Xenopus tropicalis: one gene and its partners. The protein of the gene in region 2 purifies or fractionates together with the protein of the main gene of each other region. This does not show direct contact. Links are inferred from orthologs where the notes say so. Each region holds a gene or a part of one and is shown on either strand. Other genes may lie near its edges. The genes, in order: dnm1l, marchf5, mfn2 and mfn1.

The links.
Region 1: the proteins of marchf5 (region 2) and dnm1l purify together in Homo sapiens (affinity purification with western blotting, with the first as the bait; 3 studies listed by BioGRID). This does not show direct contact. The link is inferred for Xenopus tropicalis from reciprocal best matches to the Homo sapiens genes MARCHF5 and DNM1L.
Region 3: the proteins of marchf5 (region 2) and mfn2 purify together in Homo sapiens (affinity purification with mass spectrometry; 5 studies listed by BioGRID and IntAct, counting the BioPlex papers as one, with this or other methods). This does not show direct contact. The link is inferred for Xenopus tropicalis from reciprocal best matches to the Homo sapiens genes MARCHF5 and MFN2.
Region 4: the proteins of marchf5 (region 2) and mfn1 purify together in Homo sapiens (affinity purification with western blotting; 4 studies listed by BioGRID, with this or other methods). This does not show direct contact. The link is inferred for Xenopus tropicalis from reciprocal best matches to the Homo sapiens genes MARCHF5 and MFN1.

What each region holds. Positions count from the first base shown.
Region 1 is NC_030679.2:4,795,204-4,799,366, forward strand, and holds part of dnm1l (dynamin-1-like protein), read right to left. Parts: intron 2,465-4,163; coding exon 2,270-2,464; intron 1,881-2,269; coding exon 1,769-1,880; intron 1,274-1,768; coding exon 1,193-1,273; intron 1-1,192. UniProt on the Homo sapiens protein: Functions in mitochondrial and peroxisomal division.
Region 2 is NC_030683.2:25,747,774-25,752,487, forward strand, and holds the start of marchf5 (E3 ubiquitin-protein ligase MARCH5), read right to left. Parts: upstream 3,194-4,714; 5' UTR 3,027-3,193; coding exon 2,983-3,026; intron 1-2,982. UniProt on the Homo sapiens protein: Mitochondrial E3 ubiquitin-protein ligase that plays a crucial role in the control of mitochondrial morphology by acting as a positive regulator of mitochondrial fission and as an important regulator of immune response.
Region 3 is NC_030683.2:65,993,174-65,998,108, reverse strand, and holds the start of mfn2 (mitofusin-2), read right to left. Parts: upstream 3,144-4,935; 5' UTR 3,059-3,143; exon of another isoform or gene 2,824-3,058; intron 1-2,823. UniProt on the Homo sapiens protein: Mitochondrial outer membrane GTPase that mediates mitochondrial clustering and fusion. Mitochondria are highly dynamic organelles, and their morphology is determined by the equilibrium between mitochondrial fusion and fission events.
Region 4 is NC_030681.2:108,879,080-108,884,031, forward strand, and holds the start of mfn1 (mitofusin-1), read right to left. Parts: upstream 2,962-4,952; 5' UTR 2,955-2,961; coding exon 2,840-2,954; intron 879-2,839; coding exon 743-878; intron 241-742; coding exon 78-240; intron 1-77. UniProt on the Homo sapiens protein: Mitochondrial outer membrane GTPase that mediates mitochondrial clustering and fusion. Membrane clustering requires GTPase activity. It may involve a major rearrangement of the coiled coil domains.

The DNA of each region.
Region 1 (4,163 bases), on a different chromosome or scaffold from region 2:
CTCACCCCAGGCAGCCCCCTGATGTTAACTGAGACAGCAGCTCCCAGGCAGGACCCCAACCCTAGTGTGATAAACCGTGAGAGACACAGACTGTCGCCACGCAGCCCTTAATGTGTTTGACTGTTGCCTAAGGCCGTACGAACCGTATTCTAAGCGCTGGCCTACGCAGGTATCAAGTGAGAGGCAATCCTCATAATGACTGGTTCTGTTTCTCACTCTATCTTGGAAGTCGAGGAATGTGATCTGCATAGGAGGCATTCCTTTAGGCGCCCACTGCACAGCACTTGATCTCTGTAAGGAAACGTCGATATAATGCCAGAACGACGTCTATCTCTAAACCAACGATTAGTGTCGCTGTCCGCTTCAGTAATGACTAACCTAGGAGGCCCCAGCTACTAATCAGAACCACTGGCCTTTGGGGGTGTAGCTCAGGAGCTGAGGCAATAGCTGATATGATCGAGTTTGAAGAAGGGTGCTACCCAGTAGTGATCCTAACTAGATGACTTACTAGGACTCTGTGATTTGCTGAGGCAACCATTACACTCTTGCCTTGCTTGCTGTAGCCTCCATACAGGTGTAACTGGCACATCCATTGTCTTACATACTGGCTTTCCCAATATCCCCCATAGCTCTCCCATTGTGTTATAATTCCCCGGCCTCACCCAGACTAAGGCCAAACCTAGTAAATACCTGACTGGCTGATCACTGGGTAGCCATGTTGCTTTATACCCCACAGAGGGCAAATAAATGATGCATGCAAGATGAGGGAACACAAATAAATAAATAGGGGGTGGTAGAATAAAGCACAGGGGGCTAAACCTAAAAAAAAAAAATGAAAGTACAGTTTATATGTAGAAAAAAAACACTGCTTTTACCAATGGGCGGACATTATCAGTAATGGCAAGTACTGTTACAACTCCCTGCAACCCGGGGCCACAAGGATGTTGGTAAAATTCCCAGCATACCCAGGGCCGCAGGGGGTCACGTCTGGTTTTAACCCCTCCCCTTGCTGTTCTGTAAGGGACCCCCGGCCATTACTGATAGTATCCGAGTGCTGGAGGGTCGCCGGTGACTGGGTGCTGCGGTTGTGCGGGGGTTACAGTTCTACACACAAGCCCCGCGGGGGCAGGTAGGCACATGCAGGTAGGAAATAAAGTTCGGGGGGGGGGGGGGGACAGTGGAAACTGTAGACCTTTGGAAAAGTGCTTCGGAATTTTCCAGGCGTTGGGGTCTGGAATCAAAGAGAAAAACACAACAGAGAGAAGGAGACGTTATTAAGGGAAAGGGTCTTCCACCTTGTGCTTTGCAGCCCCCCATCCACAGGGGCAGATGTGCTAGACGAAGGGGTAAACACACAATGATACCCCCCCCCCCCCACTTTCCCTACAGAGATCCCACCCTGCCAGGTAATGATGGGCATAGTCGTAGGGAAAAATTATGAAAGTGTGTAAGCCAAAATCACCGGTGATGTTGCCCGTAGCAACCAATCAGCAGTTAGAGTTGAACGGTCAGGGTCGGACTGGGGCACTGGGGGAAAAACCCTGTGGGCCCCAGCGGCCCAGACCCAATCCCCGCAGGGCCCTCTGCTGTTCTCCCCCCACTCAGATCCTGTGAACGGAAGTTAGAAAACAAAAGCAAAGATCTAAATGGTTGCTATGGGCAATCCAAGGGGGCAGATGTGCTAGAAGAAGGGGTAAACACACAATGAACCCCCAAATATATTCCATCCAGTGCTCCCCTTTTCCTTCTGCACAGGGCTGGGCAGTACCATAGAGGTGGGGGACTGGCAGAAGGCTAGCGGACAAGACCATCGACTCTTTGGCCGCCCAACACTTGGCCGGTTGCAGAGGAACCCGGAGCACTGGCCCAAATCCAATGCCCTTAAAGGAAATGGCACCCAAGGTGTCATTCTGTGGGCAACGCCCACTCCGGGGGCTGGGCATCTCTCTGGCATCTTATTGGTTGGCTGCCTGAAGTTATTGGCTCCAACGTGAATGATAAATATTCCAGTGGGCGGAAGCGCCGGTGCCTCTCTCTCTTCTACCTTTGATCCAACCGATTGATTTTATGAGCCTCTGGGCCAATCACGTTGCCTGCACGTCGCTCTATTATCTCAGTAGAGACAAGTGCTGATCCCCTCCTTACCCAGCACCAACCCTGCCCCCGACAATGATTTCAGCCATTAAAGCCAATCAGGTTGAATTGTGTCTGTACCACCAAGCTGTTTACAGGGGGGAAAAAAAAACCCCGGGCAGATTATCGTTTTTACCGTTTCTGTCATCTCCGGAAAGGGGTCTTTGCCCGGTCGTCTGGAGGACACGTGGAAACCATTGCAGGGGATTAGGGGCTCTTTCTTGGTGAACTTTATTTTTTTTCCCGTAACCCCTGGGGAAAAGGCCCAGGAGGGTTCCCGGCCCCCACCCAAAACTCTCCAAAGCCCACCGAAACGTTCTTTTCGCTTGCTCTAAGGGGACGAAAAGAAATTCATCAGGTTAAAAGTAAAACAGAAAATAGGAAAACCCTATGGGCACCATAGGGATTTCCCCTGTTTAACTAAAGCAACAATTTCAAAAGCAGGCAGGAACAAAGCCGCCCCCTAAGTTTTTGGGGCCCATTAGCCTGTACAGAGAGATAACCATTTAAAAAAATTTCTAATGGCACATAAGGGATTTTTTCCCCCCTTGTTACTTAAGGCACAATTTTCAGGCAGGAAAAAAAAAAAACAGCCCCCTAAGTTTGCCAATTTAAAGGCCTGTACAAGAGGAAAAGGATTTACCAATTAAAATTCTATTTGGCACCCATAGGGGATTTCCCTGCGTACTTAAAAGCACAAATTCAGGCAGGAAAAAAAAACAAGGGCCCCCTTAAGGTTTGACCCATTAGGCCTTGTTACAGAGAGATTTTACCATAAAAAAAAAACTGATGGCACAAAGTTGGATTTTTTTCCCCTGGTACTTAAAGCACAAATTCCAAGGCAGGAACAAGCCCCCCCTAAGTTTGCCGATAGGGGGCCTGTCAGCAGAGAATTTACCATAAAAAACTTATGGCACATTAAGGGTATTTTTGCCCCTGTACCCTAAGCGCACCAATTTTTCAAAGCAGGGAAAAAAACAGGCCCCCCTTTTTAAAGTTTGCCCATTAAGCCGTACAGAGAAAAGATTTACCATTAAAAACTAGGGCAACATAGGGATTCCCCTTTGTACTAAAGCCACAATTCAGGCAGGAAACAAGCCCCCATTAAGTTTGGCCCATAGGCCTGTACAGAAGGAAATACCATAAAAACCTATTGCACATAGGGATTCCCCCCGTTAACTAAGCACAAATTTTCAGCAGGGAAACAAAAAGCCCCCTAAGGTATAACCACTTGCTTATTTTTTAAAGGGGGACGGGATTGAGGAAAACCCCAACTAAATCCCTTTTTTGCCCCAGAGGGAACCCCACAAATTTTTTTTTTTGGCCGCCATTTTTTTTTACAGTTACATTTACAGTTACATTTGCAGCTGTTCCAATATTAAAGTTGCTTTTAAAGAACAGCGCCCCACATTAAGGCCTTGCTGTATTTGCAACAAGCTGTTAGGCGAACAGGAAAATAAACATTTCAACCCCAAACAGGCATTGGAAAAAAACCAGGGCACAGTAGTCCTCAAAGTTTTGGGAAAAACTTTTACAGGGCTCCCCAGCATTTCCTTCAGTTCAGGAAAAAACATGAAATTTCCCACTCTAATTCAAGCTTTGTTAATGTCGAAAATACAGAAAATCCCCCCCCCTCCCCAAAGCATTTAGTGGAGTAACGTTTATGTAAAAAAAATTCAATGGACTCTTTGCTGGATTTAAGTCTTCAATTAAATGGCTCGACTTGTTTGGAAATTTCAAATGCCCTGCCCAAGCAGCCTGGTGGGGGACTTTAAGGGAGTTCTGGCTAACGAGAACTGTTCCTAACCATCCCCAATTTTACCCCCGGGCCCCTGGATCGCTTTCTCCACCCATTTGGGAGATGAAAAAAAGGGAAATGAAAGCGCCCCCAAATCCCCCAGGGGCTGGCAAAAGAAAGCTTAAATTTTGTTTTGCCAGAACATTCCTCTCTTGTATTATTCTGTATTATTTACCATATGGGTAAGGGTCCAATAAAAGCGTTTTTTCCCCTTAGGGGACAAGTACCAAGG
Region 2 (4,714 bases):
ACCAAAATTAAACAAGCTTCAGTTTAACACAGGCGTGGGACCTGTTATGCAGAATGCATAATTTGAATGATAATTTGTAACTCCATAACTTAAGTCTACTAAAAAATAATTTAAACAATAAACCCAATAGGATTGTTTGCCTTCAGTAAGGATTAATTATATCTTAACAGGAGCAGCCCGGGGTATAAGGTAAGCCATTACACTCACTGAGGGGTGTTTAAGATTTTGCCCCCCACCCCAATCCAAAGTTGTGAGAAGTTTCCTCCTGCAGGCTACTTTGTGCGACTTCGGAAAATGAAGCGATGCGAAGGGCTTTCTACTGGCAACTCCTAGAATTGGCGATGGAAAGCCTTTTCGTAGCGGCTTGTCGCCCACGACAGTAGAGATCTATCGTGGGCAACACAACCACTCCGTGGGTTTATACCCTTAAGGAAAAATAGTTTTAGTTTAGTTTCTTTTAGAGAGATGGTATGATAGCAGATCCAATGGCACCAAAAACTTTTTCTTTTACCCTAACAATAGGGAACATATCGTCTTACAAGCTGCTGACTCTGACACTGCTTACACCTCAGTTGTTAATTGCATGAACTGTTTATGCTGGCAAGCTATATTATTAAACAAGGATATTATGCCTGTGCCAAGTCCAATACAATACAATGTGCAGCAGAATACTTGTCACTAACATAGTCACTGTACCAGTAGAGTGTGTAGGGCAGAGGTGGCTGAGATTCAAAATAGACTGTACCGGATTCTGGCACAGAGGTATTTTTGTGACAACTATCTGAGAAATTATCTCTCATTCTCTTGTGCAAACATGGTTTCTGCCAGGTTTTACTTTAAAATTCCTTTTTGACCCTTCAAGGTCATTAGCTTGACTCTTCCTCATGACAACATGCATTTCCTCAACTTACATGCCCATGCTGACATTTTACAAACACAGGATAATAATTATGATATTGAGGAGGGTGATGATAATAATACATACTTTAAATAATCACAACTACAGCAGAGGTTTTAATACCTTGCTCTGCCAGCATTTTTTTTTTCTCTCATGATATGTTTATCTTATCAAGTTCATAAATGACATCATGGCTCACTCCCCCTCCCTTCAGCGTGAGGTCAATCAACTCATGCAGAGTATCAGGCGTTGCAAAAGCTGTGCATTCTTGTTTGGAGAAGCAGGAAAGCAGCATGATAAGGCAAGGAGAGGCAGAAAGGGTAAGCAAGACAGTGCAGTGAAAAGTAGCCAAGGGAGATCAATATAAGGGTAGATTTACAACACACCCACCCAGATCATGGGCTGCCAGTTGTTCCGCCCTAGAGTATTAAAGAACCAATAACACCAAAAATGAAAGAGTTCTGTATGCTGTTAAATATCATTTATTGTTACCTTCAATAGTAAAAGTTGGGTGTTTGCTTTAGGATGAAGACACATAGAGCCACTAGTAGCAGTTACTTTTTCACGGGTACTGAACACTGCCATAGACAATACTGAGAACTGCCTCTGCTAGAACACACAGAAACAATTATCAGTAACTGATCAGCATTGTCTATTTTAGTAGCTATGACAGGTAGCCGGTACTAGTAGCTCCATGTGTCTTCACCCTTATGCTGGCCATACACGTGGCGATCTGACGATGTTTTGTGCGACCATCGATCGGTCGCATGAAACATCGTCAGATGTGCCACACACCATTCAGGGCTGAATCGGCAGGTAAGGAGGTAGAAACAATAGGATTTCTACCTCCTTCTGCCGATTCAGCGCTGAAGGGAGATTTTGACCAGGCGCCTTCTATGGCGCCCGATCAAAATTTTCCAACTGGTCCGATCGGCGAGTCGGCCGATATCAGCAGCTTCCTGCGATATCGGTCGACTCGCTGACATACCATACACACACCGAATATCGTACGAAACGAGGTTTCGTACGATATTATCGGTGCGTGTATGGCTACCTTTAGAAGTGCAACTACAGTTTATATAAATAAGCTGTTGTGTAGCTATGGGCAGCTATTTAAACTGGTCTACTTGGCACCCATTTTCATAGCAAATAACTAGAAACAGTGGTTAATTGCGATTTAAAGCACTCTACAGAACCCGCAAAATGAAAACCTTTCCTTTGTAACATAACATGATTGCGCCTTTAAGGCAACCATTTAGGTTGATAGAGAATCAGAATTTATTAACTGTCACTGAAAAACAGTGATTTTTCTCACTCTGAGCATCTGGTTCTTGAAACAATGTAGCAGAAGTCAGCCTTGCTTGCCATGCTCTTTTACAGGTCTATTATATCAGCTGGCTTCTGCTAAACTGTATCAAAGTCAGAAAAGCCTGGGAAAAGATTGTAAGCTCTACAGGGCAGGGACCTCCTTCCTACTGAGTCTCATACCACATGGCACTTCATCTCTGTGTATTTAAGTATTTATTATAACACTTGTCCTCCGTGTGTAATTGTGTATATTGTAAGATTGTACAGAGTAAAGTTATACATACGTACATTGTTGTGAATAAACTATTATTGAAAATTACCACTTTTGTTGGTGTCTGCCTGGAGGAGGTAAGTTCATTACTACCTCCTCTGAATTACCCATTGGGTTTTTAAGTGTTTTTAGCTAATTTTATCCATTTGGCGCCTCTGTTTTGTCTTATCATTATACATACATACACACAAAGGACAAAAAGTAACAAAGGCTGCTTTCAGTAACTCTTATATACAAAAATGACTGCAAATATGCAAAGAATGCATTTTGGAAAGTTGCTATGAATGACAATTTTTAGGGTTTATTTCCCCTTTAAATTCTTACTTCTACTATAAAGAAGCATGAGGAACAAGAAATATCTATTCTAGCTAGTTATTATAGATATGCACTATATTATGTACGTAGAATTCTAGCTATAAGCACAGCAGCCCATAGAAGACGCAGCGACACAGAAGGCATCCCCCAACCCTACGCCTTGTCATTAGGACGCGACAAACGCACTCACCTGTCAAGCATCTGCTGTACAGACACGCTGTTCGCCTCCGACATGTTGCCCTTTGCCCCGCAGCCGTATTTACTCGAGTATCAAGCGATAAAGAGTATGAGGAGACAACACGTCCAAGTCCGACATGCAGGAACAGTCTCACCGAACCGCCATCCGTCCGTTTCAAAGTCCTTTCAGCAAATTCCCCTTCCTATTGCCAGCAGCCTCTAACTCGGTGTTTGTTGTTACGGAACCAGAGTTCTTACGTGAAACGTCAGTCGTACTTCATGCGGCAACCGAGCGGCGCCGGAAGCAGGAAGTGAGAAGCGCTGGGGAAGGTGTCTGTTGCCATGGTAACGTCGGTATCTCGCTAAAGTGCATCGTTACCGTAAATTAGAATTTGACTCTGTATCTTATTGGCCTGTGGAAGTTTTTATCTGTTCCGATTTGGCTTTTTATATACATATGCGTAGAACTTGTGCGGCGAAGTGCGCTTTAATTAACATAGTAACAATTTTGTGGTATAAACTATAGGGATTTCTAGTGCCTGATCTACCTGTGTTTTTATGACTGTGTGGATTGTTTATGCTTTGCACCATGCCTTCAATATTTAACCTTAATATTGTTTCATACCTCCCAACATTTGAAAAATGAAAAGAGGGACAAAAAGACTTTGCGCGCGCAGCACGGCAACATTTTGACCACGCCCACTTTGTGGCCACACCCCAAGTGCCACACCCCATTTTTAAAATAGTGCCCCCGATGGCCCAATAGACAGCACCCCCATAGACAGTGCCCCATTTGCCCCCATAGACAGTACCCCCCATAGACAGTGCCCCCAATTGACCCCATAGACCATGCCCTCAATTGCCCCACAGACAGTAGCCCCCATACACAGTGCCCCCATAGAAAGTACCCTCCATACACAATGCCCCCATAGAAAGTGCCCCCATACACAGTACCCCCATACACAGTGCCCCCATAGAAAGTACCCTCCATACACAATGCCCCCATAGAAAGTGCCCCCATACACAGTACCCCCCAAACACAGTACCCCCCATACACAGTGCCCCCCAATTGCCCCCATAGAGAGTACCTCCAATAGAAAATTCCCCCCATACATAGTGCCCCCCATAGACTTCTTGTGGCTCCTGCTCCTTATTCGGCTCCTCGTACGGCGGTGACAGGACCTTTTATAAGGTTGCGCCCCGTGCGTACACACGTACACACGGGCGCAACCTTATAAAAGGAGCTGTCGCCGCCATACGAGGAGCCGAATAAGAAGCAGGAGCCGCAAGAAGAGACAGAGTCGGAGCGGCTCGGCTGCAGCCAGCGCATCCCGCTGGCCTGGATAGTTTAATGAATGTTCTGCATTTCCGTAATGCGAGACATTCAGGGAACTATCCGGGACAGCGGGACGCACTGTAAAAACTGGGACTGTCCCGCGAAAAAGCGTGACAGTTGGGGGGTATGTTGTTTATATCCATATATATTTTTTTGCCTACACTATTCCAAAGCACTTGTCTATTATAAAAAGTAACGTACACCATATTGTAACTTATAAGCAGTGATGAGCGAATCTGTCCTGTTTCACGAAAAATTTGTAAAAGATTTGCTAAACGGCGAAAATGATGTGTGTCAAAAAGAAATAGTTGGCAAGAAAATTTTTTTTAGGTGCGCGTAATTTGTTTGCCGCGTGCATCAATTTTTGGGTACGCACCAAACTATTCTGCGCTGAATTTTGTCTCCCGTT
Region 3 (4,935 bases), about 40 Mb from region 2:
CAGAAAATAAGTAAATCATTTTTAAAAATTAGAATTATTTTTTAAAATGGAGTCTATGGAGTTTCCTGGACACGTGTGCTGTAAAGTTTATGCAGTCATATGGCAGAATTACACAGAACACAGAAAAAGTCCTGCTTGAATTTAACACTGTAATGGTTAAGATAAGGTCAGGAGAGGTGGCTAGGAGAAAAAAAAAAAAACATGTTTCTCCAGCAGAGTGCACAGCTAGAGCCAAGTTTCTATGGAAACCAGCAATACCATTTCTTCATTGGCTGCTAGACTTGAGGGTGTGTTTCATAACCTGAGTTGAGGATGCTCAGTAGCCAACAGCCAAAGTAAATTCCAATGGCTAATGCCACAAGCCTAAAAACGCTTGCCAAGTATATACCCCGCTACTGTAAAATGGGCTTACCTTATGCCTGCACAAAGAAATGAAATACTCTCGTGTGTAGGCACATGTAGCCGTTATCTGCCAAAAAATGAGAGACTTCACATTTTTGGCATATATCAGTTTACAGCTTGCCGAGAATACACTCCGTGTGGCATTAGCCTAAGGGAGGGGGCAAAGTGGTTTTGAGGAGGAGAAGGAATCCTAAGTGATTAAGGGGATGCTGCAGCCTTATTATTCATTCTGTTCATTAATTATTTTTTTGTGGGGGGTTTACATGTCCTTTAATACAAAATAACAAGGGGTTAAGTGAAGATGATGAAGGTTGATTCTTTTGGTAGATGTGTGGATATCTTAGGCTAATGGCAACAGGCTGATTCTATGCCGGTCGGTGAGCACACATTCAAGGTGTGGAAGGCAGCAGAATGGATTTTCTCCACTGGTGTATATTTAAACCAGCTACACTGTAGTGATAATTTAGAAAAGTAGTAATTTAGTAAGTAGTATCAGCATCATAGACAGCTACACAGGACAGACCGGCTTCAACACCACTAAACTTGATTTTATTTTGCTTGCAAAACCTGTGTAACCACTTAAGCTGCATTTGGTCCACTTTAAGACCTTATAACCCTATAGGGCATTTGAAACATGGCAGTAACCGTAGCATATTTATGGGAAGCTCCAATAAACGGGATAAACAATCATAATTTTGAGTCCTGAGTAAAAGCTGACACATATATTATTCATTCTTGCCTACAAGATTATTGTAATTTTCACTTAAAACCAAAGTGGGCATCTATATTTGTATTTATACAAATCCCCCATAACAGATTTGGCCTAACCGATACCTAACCGAACCCAAACCCTCTGTGCTGCTGGAAATTGGTGGCACATGGATAGAAATAGTGAAGAAGCACATGAAGCGCACACAATCTAACATGTGCGTGATAAATGTGCATCAAATCTTTCACTTTATATAGCATTTGGGTATGGTTCGGTTTGTGTGTGTGTGTGTGTGTGTGGACGTAGCTTAAAGGGGTTGTTATCCTTTGAGTTAACTTTTAGTTAGATTAGAGCACTATTCTAAAACAAATTGTAGTTGGTCTTCATTTTTTATTTGTAGTTTTTTAGTTATTTTGTTTTCAGTTCAGGAGCTCTCCAGTGTAAAGTTTCATCAGTTATTTGGTTGCTAGGGTCCAATTTACTTTAGCAACCAGGGAGTGGAAAAGAATAGAAAAGAAAGTTACAAAAAGTAACAATAACAAAAAAACCTGTAGCTTCAAGAAAGTTTTTCGGCTACTGGGATCAGTGCCAACCATTTAAAAACTGCAAAGATTAGAAGACAGCGGCAAATAATTCACAAAAAAGTAAAGCATTTCCCACATCTTCACTGCCCCATGGAAGAATACTAGTAATTTCCAAAGCAGATGTCAAGATTTTGGCTAAGACAAGATTATATAAGCTTTCAGTGCTTAGTATCCTCCAGCCATTACCCTAGAGAAATAAGGAGTTGTAGTTGAACAACCATAGGCCCACAATTTTGTGTGTCATTATGATCTGGCTGCTTCCTCATGTAGCCCATACCTTAAAGCCCACCCAGTGTGCACCAGAGGCTACGTATCACATGTGATCATTATATAATTGTGAATACTAATTATTACACTGCAGGGTGGGAACGTTGGCCTGAAACTGCAGTTACAACAACTCCCTAATTACAAGACAGTACCACACTAATAAATACATCTTAGATGTATTCATTAACAGTGGAGACAAACATCGCTGGTGATTTTGCCCATAACAACCACTCAGATGTTTGCTTTTGTTTGCTAACTTGTAGATGACTGTTCAAATCTAATTGCTGATTGGGTGCTATTGGCTACATCACCAGTGACAGATGTCTCCAATGTTAATAAATACACCCCAAGGTGGTTTGAGATCATCAGGTTGAAGACACTGGTGCAGCTTTACTCCAGTCTAGTAGCTCATAGCAACCGATGAGCATTAAACTTTGACTGGTCCAGCACATCTGGAATAAATACAGCAAATTTTCAATTGGTCACTATGACTTTCTGCTACAACACAAAGCAGCAATATTAGTATTTTCCATAATGTCTATCAGTCTTCACTGGCCTCAGGCTATGTTTTATTTGACAGCTCTGCACTGAAAGTATGATATAAGATTTAAAACAGTACCTATCAGATGATCAGGTACTGAGCAGGTTGACAAATAAGTATTCACTCATAAAGCACCTAATAGTGGTATGTGAGCAGAACTGTCTCCACACTCCTAATGTTGTTACATTTGGAGTGTGGAGACAGTTCTGCTCAGCAGCATTTGAGGTACAACACACACAGAAGGGAACCAATAACCACTATCACCCTGAGTGCCCTTCTGCCATCACAAGCACAGCGCAATAGGATCATAAATGTCTTACTTGTAGTGCAAGGAAAGCAGTTACTAGGCCCGCATGCTATTCAGCCGGACTGGGGCTGCTCAAGCAAAGAAAACAATCGCAGGATGGGACGCTACTAGGAGCAGGCAGCTTTGCACACAGCACATGCGATGTTCTAAGGTCCGTGCTCACTCACATGCTGTACCGCTGCGCTATTTCCTTAGCAGCATCCAGGCCTTCAGTGAAGGGTACAGGACAGGAAGGGGTCTGCACTAACCTCCTGCCAGCGGTGCGCTAAGCCACACCCTCCATCCCCGATTGGCACACACCATAAGGAACAGGGAACCCAGCAAGTGACGTCACACACTCCGCCCCTACAAGCAAAGGTCAAAAAGGAGGCGCGGCACAATCCCGATTGGTTTTGGGCATGCTGGGATTTGTAGTTCACTGGTAGCAAGAAATGTCACCGTGCGGTATAAGGAAATTATAAAGGCAGTAATAGCGTGGGGGTAGTGGGTGTTAGGTGATTGAATCGATATAAGAAGTAGAAAACAGAGGTGATGGCTGTAAAGATTTGCTGTGGTTATTAGCGCTTGGTAACATTTTGTAGGATTGAATATAATACAGAAGGCGAGATTTGGTACATCCCGTCCTTTTTTCTAAATAAAAAAGTAGTGGGCTACTACTCTAAAAAAATAACAAATCTAGAAAAATAACAATGTGACCGTAGACCACTCGAATTTAAATGTTATAAAACAAGAGGGGGACTTGCTTTTTGCCTATGAAGTATGTTTCACAGAGGACAGTTGCCTCAAGACCCAGTGGGTGAGCTGTAGCCTATAGGATAAACCCATGTAAATGGAATTTTTTTTAAGAATCTGATCAGCTATTGTACTGGCTTCAGCTTCAAACCCAGTGGGTGAGCTGTAGCCTACAGGATAAACCCATGTAAATGGGATTTTTTTTAAGAGTCTGGAATTCATTCCCAGAATTCCTATTGTTTGTCAAGACTCCTGTAACCAAATGTAAAACTATTTTGGGCTATATTGCCAAAACCAGGCTATGAGTAGAGCATTGGTTACATGCGACTCTCATACATCAGCATGGGCTTCCGCTAAGTGGGAGAAAACTAATGGAGGATGTTGTTGAACTATACCTCCCACTGCCAATGTGTAGTGCAGTGATCCCCAACCAGTGGCTCGTGAGCAACATGTTGCTCTCCAACCCTTGGATGTTGCTCCCAGTGGCCTCAAAGCAGGTAGTTATTTTTTAATTCCTGGCTTTTGGGCAAGTGTTGGTTGCATAAAAACCAGTTGTATTGCCAACAGAGTGGTAGGAGGCAGCTCACCGGTTAATCCCTTCTCTTGGTAGAGGGCAGGGTTAATTGCTGGCCTATGTCCCTAGTACTTCTGTGTCCCTAACTAAGGCAAGTAAGCCTGTTAGGAGAATACTCCTTTACTTTTTCTCCTGGATGGAGCAAATGAGCTGCTCTTTCTATATAAATCCTAACTGTGTAACTCTCCTAGAGAGTCCTATAATATAAAGTAACCTGTTCTTACTGTACCTCGTTCACGGGGCCCTGTCCCCGACTTTAATTTGGATGAAATGGCTACTGGGGCCTGTGTCTGCACCCAGGCTCAATGGAGCGGTGCATCAGGTAGCAGACCGGCAGCCAAAGAGAAAGTCACAACCTCCTGCCAGACTTTATCAGTCTGCAGGGGGCGTGTACAACCAGGCTAAACCTATAAGGGATAGCTTTACAACTGTAACTGAGTACAAGGGCTTCTGCCCAATAATAATAAAGATGTGAAGAGATAGGGTGTAAAGCCATAGGGAGCTTAACCCTATGGGTCCCTACATTCACCCGGGGGAAAAATCCAGGCTAGGAGTAGAGCATTGGTTACATGCGACTCTCATACATCAGGATGGGCCTCCGCTAAGTGGGAGAAAACTAATGGAGGATGTTGTTGAACTATACCTGCCACTGTATAGTGTATTAGATGTAAATGCATATTTAAGAATAGATAATGGACGCCATGAGCTCTTGCAAAACAAAGGAACTGTTTATTTGTCCAAGACCGAATTCTAAATGCAGGGATATCAGATGAGGTAACAGGTATTCAATAGCACAAATGACGTAAAAGCAGATCAAGC
Region 4 (4,952 bases), on a different chromosome or scaffold from region 2:
AAATATATTGGTTAGACACACAGCACGGTGGGAGATATCATACAGTGAATGTTTGTAATATACATCTGCAGTTATACCTTTACACTTTTCTTTTCCTCTGAACCCTCTGTCATCAGATAGGCCTTGTCTCCTTCTGTACCTTCCACGCTAAGGAAGCAGTTGGTAGTGTGTCCAATACCACTGGGCAGCACTTTGTCCCACAGCATAGAGTTTATCACTGTGCTCTTGCCACTACTTGTTCTGCAGGGATGGATAAAAACATCACGGTTCATTCAAATTATGGTTAGCATGCAATATGAACATAAAACTCAGGAAGAGTTAATTATTCAACATTTAAAGTTCAAAACTTAAGAATAACAATGTATAAGACAAATACATATGAATTATCTCTATACTGGTATTCAGAGTAAATCCAATTAGTCAGTGGGTCAAACTTCTTGCCATCTGATCAACAGAAGAAAGCTGGCAGTAATGTGAATCGGTGGTGGAAGAGCATATGTATTGCAAAGTAGTGGATGATTCATGTGCCATTGCCCTTACTGTTAGCAGATATTTCTCATTTCTGAATCATGTTTCCATATATATATAATGTTTGAATTACTATACTGACTTCTTGTAATATAAATACCAGAGGGTTCAAGCATAAAATGTATACTTTATTATATATTTTATATGTTTGTTTGCAGCTTAAAATGCAGTTATCACAAATCACATATCCTTAAATTGTGATGAAAGCTCTTACCTGCCAAAAAAAGCCACCTTCATATTCCTGCGGGCGAGAACCTCCCCAATGCCAGCTAGTTTAGTCTTAGATGCCTTAACCTTATTAACATCATCCTCTGTACTCACATTCTTTAGCTCTGGGTTCTGGAATGTTTCTATGCCGAAATAAAGGAACATAATGGTTAAAGTTTAAGCAAGCACAGTCTTCCATCTGCTGCTCTTCCACTACTATGTCTAAGTGCAGTTTGTTGCCCTGGAATGTAATGCACAGGTATAGGATCTGTTATCCGGAAACCCGGTATTGAGGTTATGGGAAGGACATCTCCCATAGACTCTATCATAATCAAATAATGTATATTTGTAAAAAGCATTCCTTTTTTTTCTCTGTAATTAAACATAACCTTGTACTTAATCCTAGCTAAAATAAAATGAATCCTTATTGGGGGCAAAACAATCATATTGCGTTTATTAATTATTAAAATGTTTTTCAAGTAGACACTTAGGGGCTGATTTACTAATCCACGAATCTGAATAAGAAAAATTCGGATTGGAAAATGAACATTTTGCGACTTTTTGTATTTTTTGCGACTTTTTCGTAGCCGTTACGACTTTCGCGAATTGTCGTGACTTTTCATAGCCATTATGCCTTTCGTGAATTGTCGCGACTTTTTCATTGCCATTACAAATTTCGTGAATTGTCGCGACTTTTTCATTGCCATTACAAATTTCGTGAATTGTCGCGACTTTTTCATAGCCATTATGACTTTCGTGAATTGTCGCGACTTTCGTATTGAGCGCTCGAAAACGTTGCAAAATACCGATCATTACGAAAAAAAAGGAATTTGGACACTTTTTGGACGTTCGTGGATTAGTAAATGTGCCCCTTAGTATGGAGATCCAAATTACGGAAAGATTGCTTATCCAGAAAACCCCAGGTCCAGAGCATTTTGGATAACAGGTCCCATACCTGTGATAAGGAGCACACACACGAAAAATCCTGCAGGCAGATGGGAAGCGCTTTATAATAAATTGTGAGAAGATTAACCAAAAATATTGATCTTTTTTATTTAATAAAAACAGGCAGAATATATTATCATTGTGTTGATGTGTAAATAATAGGTTTTAGATAAAATCTCTTACTGTTATAGACATAAAAAAAATCTCAGATCTCAGCCATAAATCATATAGCACAGGAAGACTTCCATGCTTTAGTTTAATGGGACACAGGCATTTGGATCACTGTTGCCCTTCAGTGAAGAACGAGTCTTACACTGTGGTGGTCAGAGGCAATTTGACAGCCATTGTTTTCACAAGACAGCAGCAGTGATCAAAACTTTTACTCTAAATCTTTAAAGGGATACTGTCATGATTTTCATGGTATACTTTTTATTTCTAAATTACACTGTTTACATAGCAAATAGTGTATTCTATCATTTTAAATGTTATTCTTGAACCAACAAATTAATTTTTTTTGCTGTAATATTGGTGTGTCGGTGCCATCTCATGCATTGTGCCTGAGTCTAAAATTTCAGGAGGAGCCAGCGCTACATTAGTACTGCTTTCAGATAACCTAGTGTTTTTCCTACTGCAGTGTAACTGGAGGAGTCCCAAGCCTGACTTGGATTTCTTACTATTGAGTGCTATTCTGATATCTACTGGGAGCTGCTATCCTGCTACCTTTCCATTGTTCTGCTGATCGGCTGCCGGGAGGGGGGTGATATCACTCCAACTTGCAGCTCAGCAGTAAAGTGTGACTGGAAAATGAAGGACATGGCACCCCATGTGAAATTTAAAAATGAAAAATCTGTGTTTTTGAAAAATGGATTTCAATGCAAGATTTCTCTGGAGAAGCTCTTTCAATTCGATTATTATTTATCAGAAAACAGTTACACTACATGGAGAATGTAGTAAAATATGCAGAACTTGCCCTATATCTACTGATTCATAGTAGTTTCTCAGCTATTTTCTCAACTATTCACTATTTTAATTGCTGTAAACTAGTAAGTGCTTAATAGTTGCTGTGGGTTATTAGACCTTGAACAAAATTGCACCTGTTACTACATCCCACGGTTAGTCTTAAAATGTGCAATGCTATATTACAGAAAATGAAAGATACCTTCTACAAAGGTTACGCCTTCACTGACATACTCCACCAACTGGTCAAAGATAGACGTAATGCTCTTCTTGGCTAGCACAAAGTGCTTTAGGGGAGAGACACTTGCTTCTTCCATGACTTATCTGCTTGAAAAGAAAATGGCAGTTTTAAGTGCCAAGAAAATTGCCAATCCAGACAGTACAAAGAAGCAATAAAAATGAAAGATGACCACACGTCTATTATAAGAAAAAAAAAAAAAAGCAAGAACTTGCACTAATAACTGCTTTTAGATCAGATAATCATTCTGGTGAGAACATCTTATCTCTGTTTATCTTATCTCTACAAAAGGGCTGCAGGATATGGAATATATATAAAATAAATGAAAGAAAATGTAGATAAAATAAACCACTAAAGTACTATATTATACAGGGCCAACATCATGGGGAACGAGGTGCTGCAATCAGGGATCCCATAGCAGGCCCTAAGAGAGGTAAAAGTGCAATTCACAGGTTGCGGAGGGCTTAATGACAAGTCATGGATCTGCAAGTCTTTTTTTTTTTCCATTGGGGAATGGCACACAGCCCAAGGGCCCAGGCGACCAGTGGGTTAATAAATGGGGTCCCGTGGGGGGCAATTCTTTTTTTTTTTTGTTCAAATCACAAAATTCACACATGTTAAACAAAGAGTTATATGGATCTTTTGAAATAAAAATGATTAAAATACCTTATATAAATAATAACATAGTCCACATTATAAGCATTAGAAAATGTCACCAAAGCTACAATTAATATGTAAAATGTATATTTAATTAATATTTAAAAAACACAAGTTTTAACCTGAATGCACTTGTTGCTAATTTCTATAGAAAGTGAGTATCCTAGTATGAAGGACACCAAAGGTGAGCGTGTATAATAAAGTTCCGAACATATGTGTGCTTGGACTGTACTGCAAGGAGTTCATTTACAAGTAGACTCAAATGGGTAAATACATATTATATATACAGACACACATACGTACATATACATTATATACACAGTAACACGTCAGTGAGTGTATAACATGCTACAAAATGACAGGGGGGGGGGGGGGGGCGACTAATCCAAGTAAATGCATACTGCCCAAAAATCGGGCTTTCTGCAGGACGCTCACGATTGGCCTATCGCAGCCCGCAGTCCCGCATCCCTATGCCCTACTTACACCTCCCGCACAGCAGCTAAGTGCAAATTCCTTGCCTCCTGTCCTACACACAATCCCCGCACCGCCACTCTCATCACGCGAGATCCCGTCCTGCGCAGTGACACGTTACGTAGCGCATTGGGGGAGGGGCGAGCGGAGACGGCGTAGCTCAGAACCATTCCGTGGGAAGTAGTTGTGTAGTTCTTTTCTGCCCGTACCGCTTACTATTGTAACAAAAGGCGATAAGCTGCCAACACGGTCCTCCTAAAATTTTCTAGAATCTTATTGTACAAAGCATGAGTAAAAATGGCTTAGAATGTATAGCCTTTGCAAAGGATGCAGCTCAAGTCATTGGACTAAGAACGTGGGAGTAAAGTTATGTGTAGGCATTAGTGGGTGTATTAGTACAACAGAGTGACCATTGATTCATGGTAATAAAAATGTTAGATGAAAATGTAAAGGTATGAACTGACAGGCATTATATACTGTCATAAACCCCCCTTTTTATATTTGTTGTGCAGCTTGCAGACTTCGAATTGTGTTGGGTTGAAAACCCCACAGACTGTTCTTCCACTTCAGCTTATTCTTCCGCTTCTTCTTCTCAGCGCCCCCCATTTTCTAAACGCTACTCCTCCTACAGTTTTAGGGGTACAACACCCAAACTCTCCACACTCCTTCGCCCTATATTCATGGAACTATCCGGGACAGCGGGAGGCGCCATAAAAAGCGGGACTGTCCCGCGAAAAGCGGGACAGTTGGGGGGTATGCTATTGCTTTTTATTGGTTTGTTGCCAGGCTTCCCAAACTTTGCACAGTCAGTCACTGGGTGACTTTGTACTCAAGGTTAGAAAAAGTGGGCGTGGCTGCCAACAGCCAATAACATTTCACCTATTTACTTTCAATGGTGAAGTGTAAAATGCTGTCAGCTTCACAATAAATGCTTGATTCCCCAAAATTT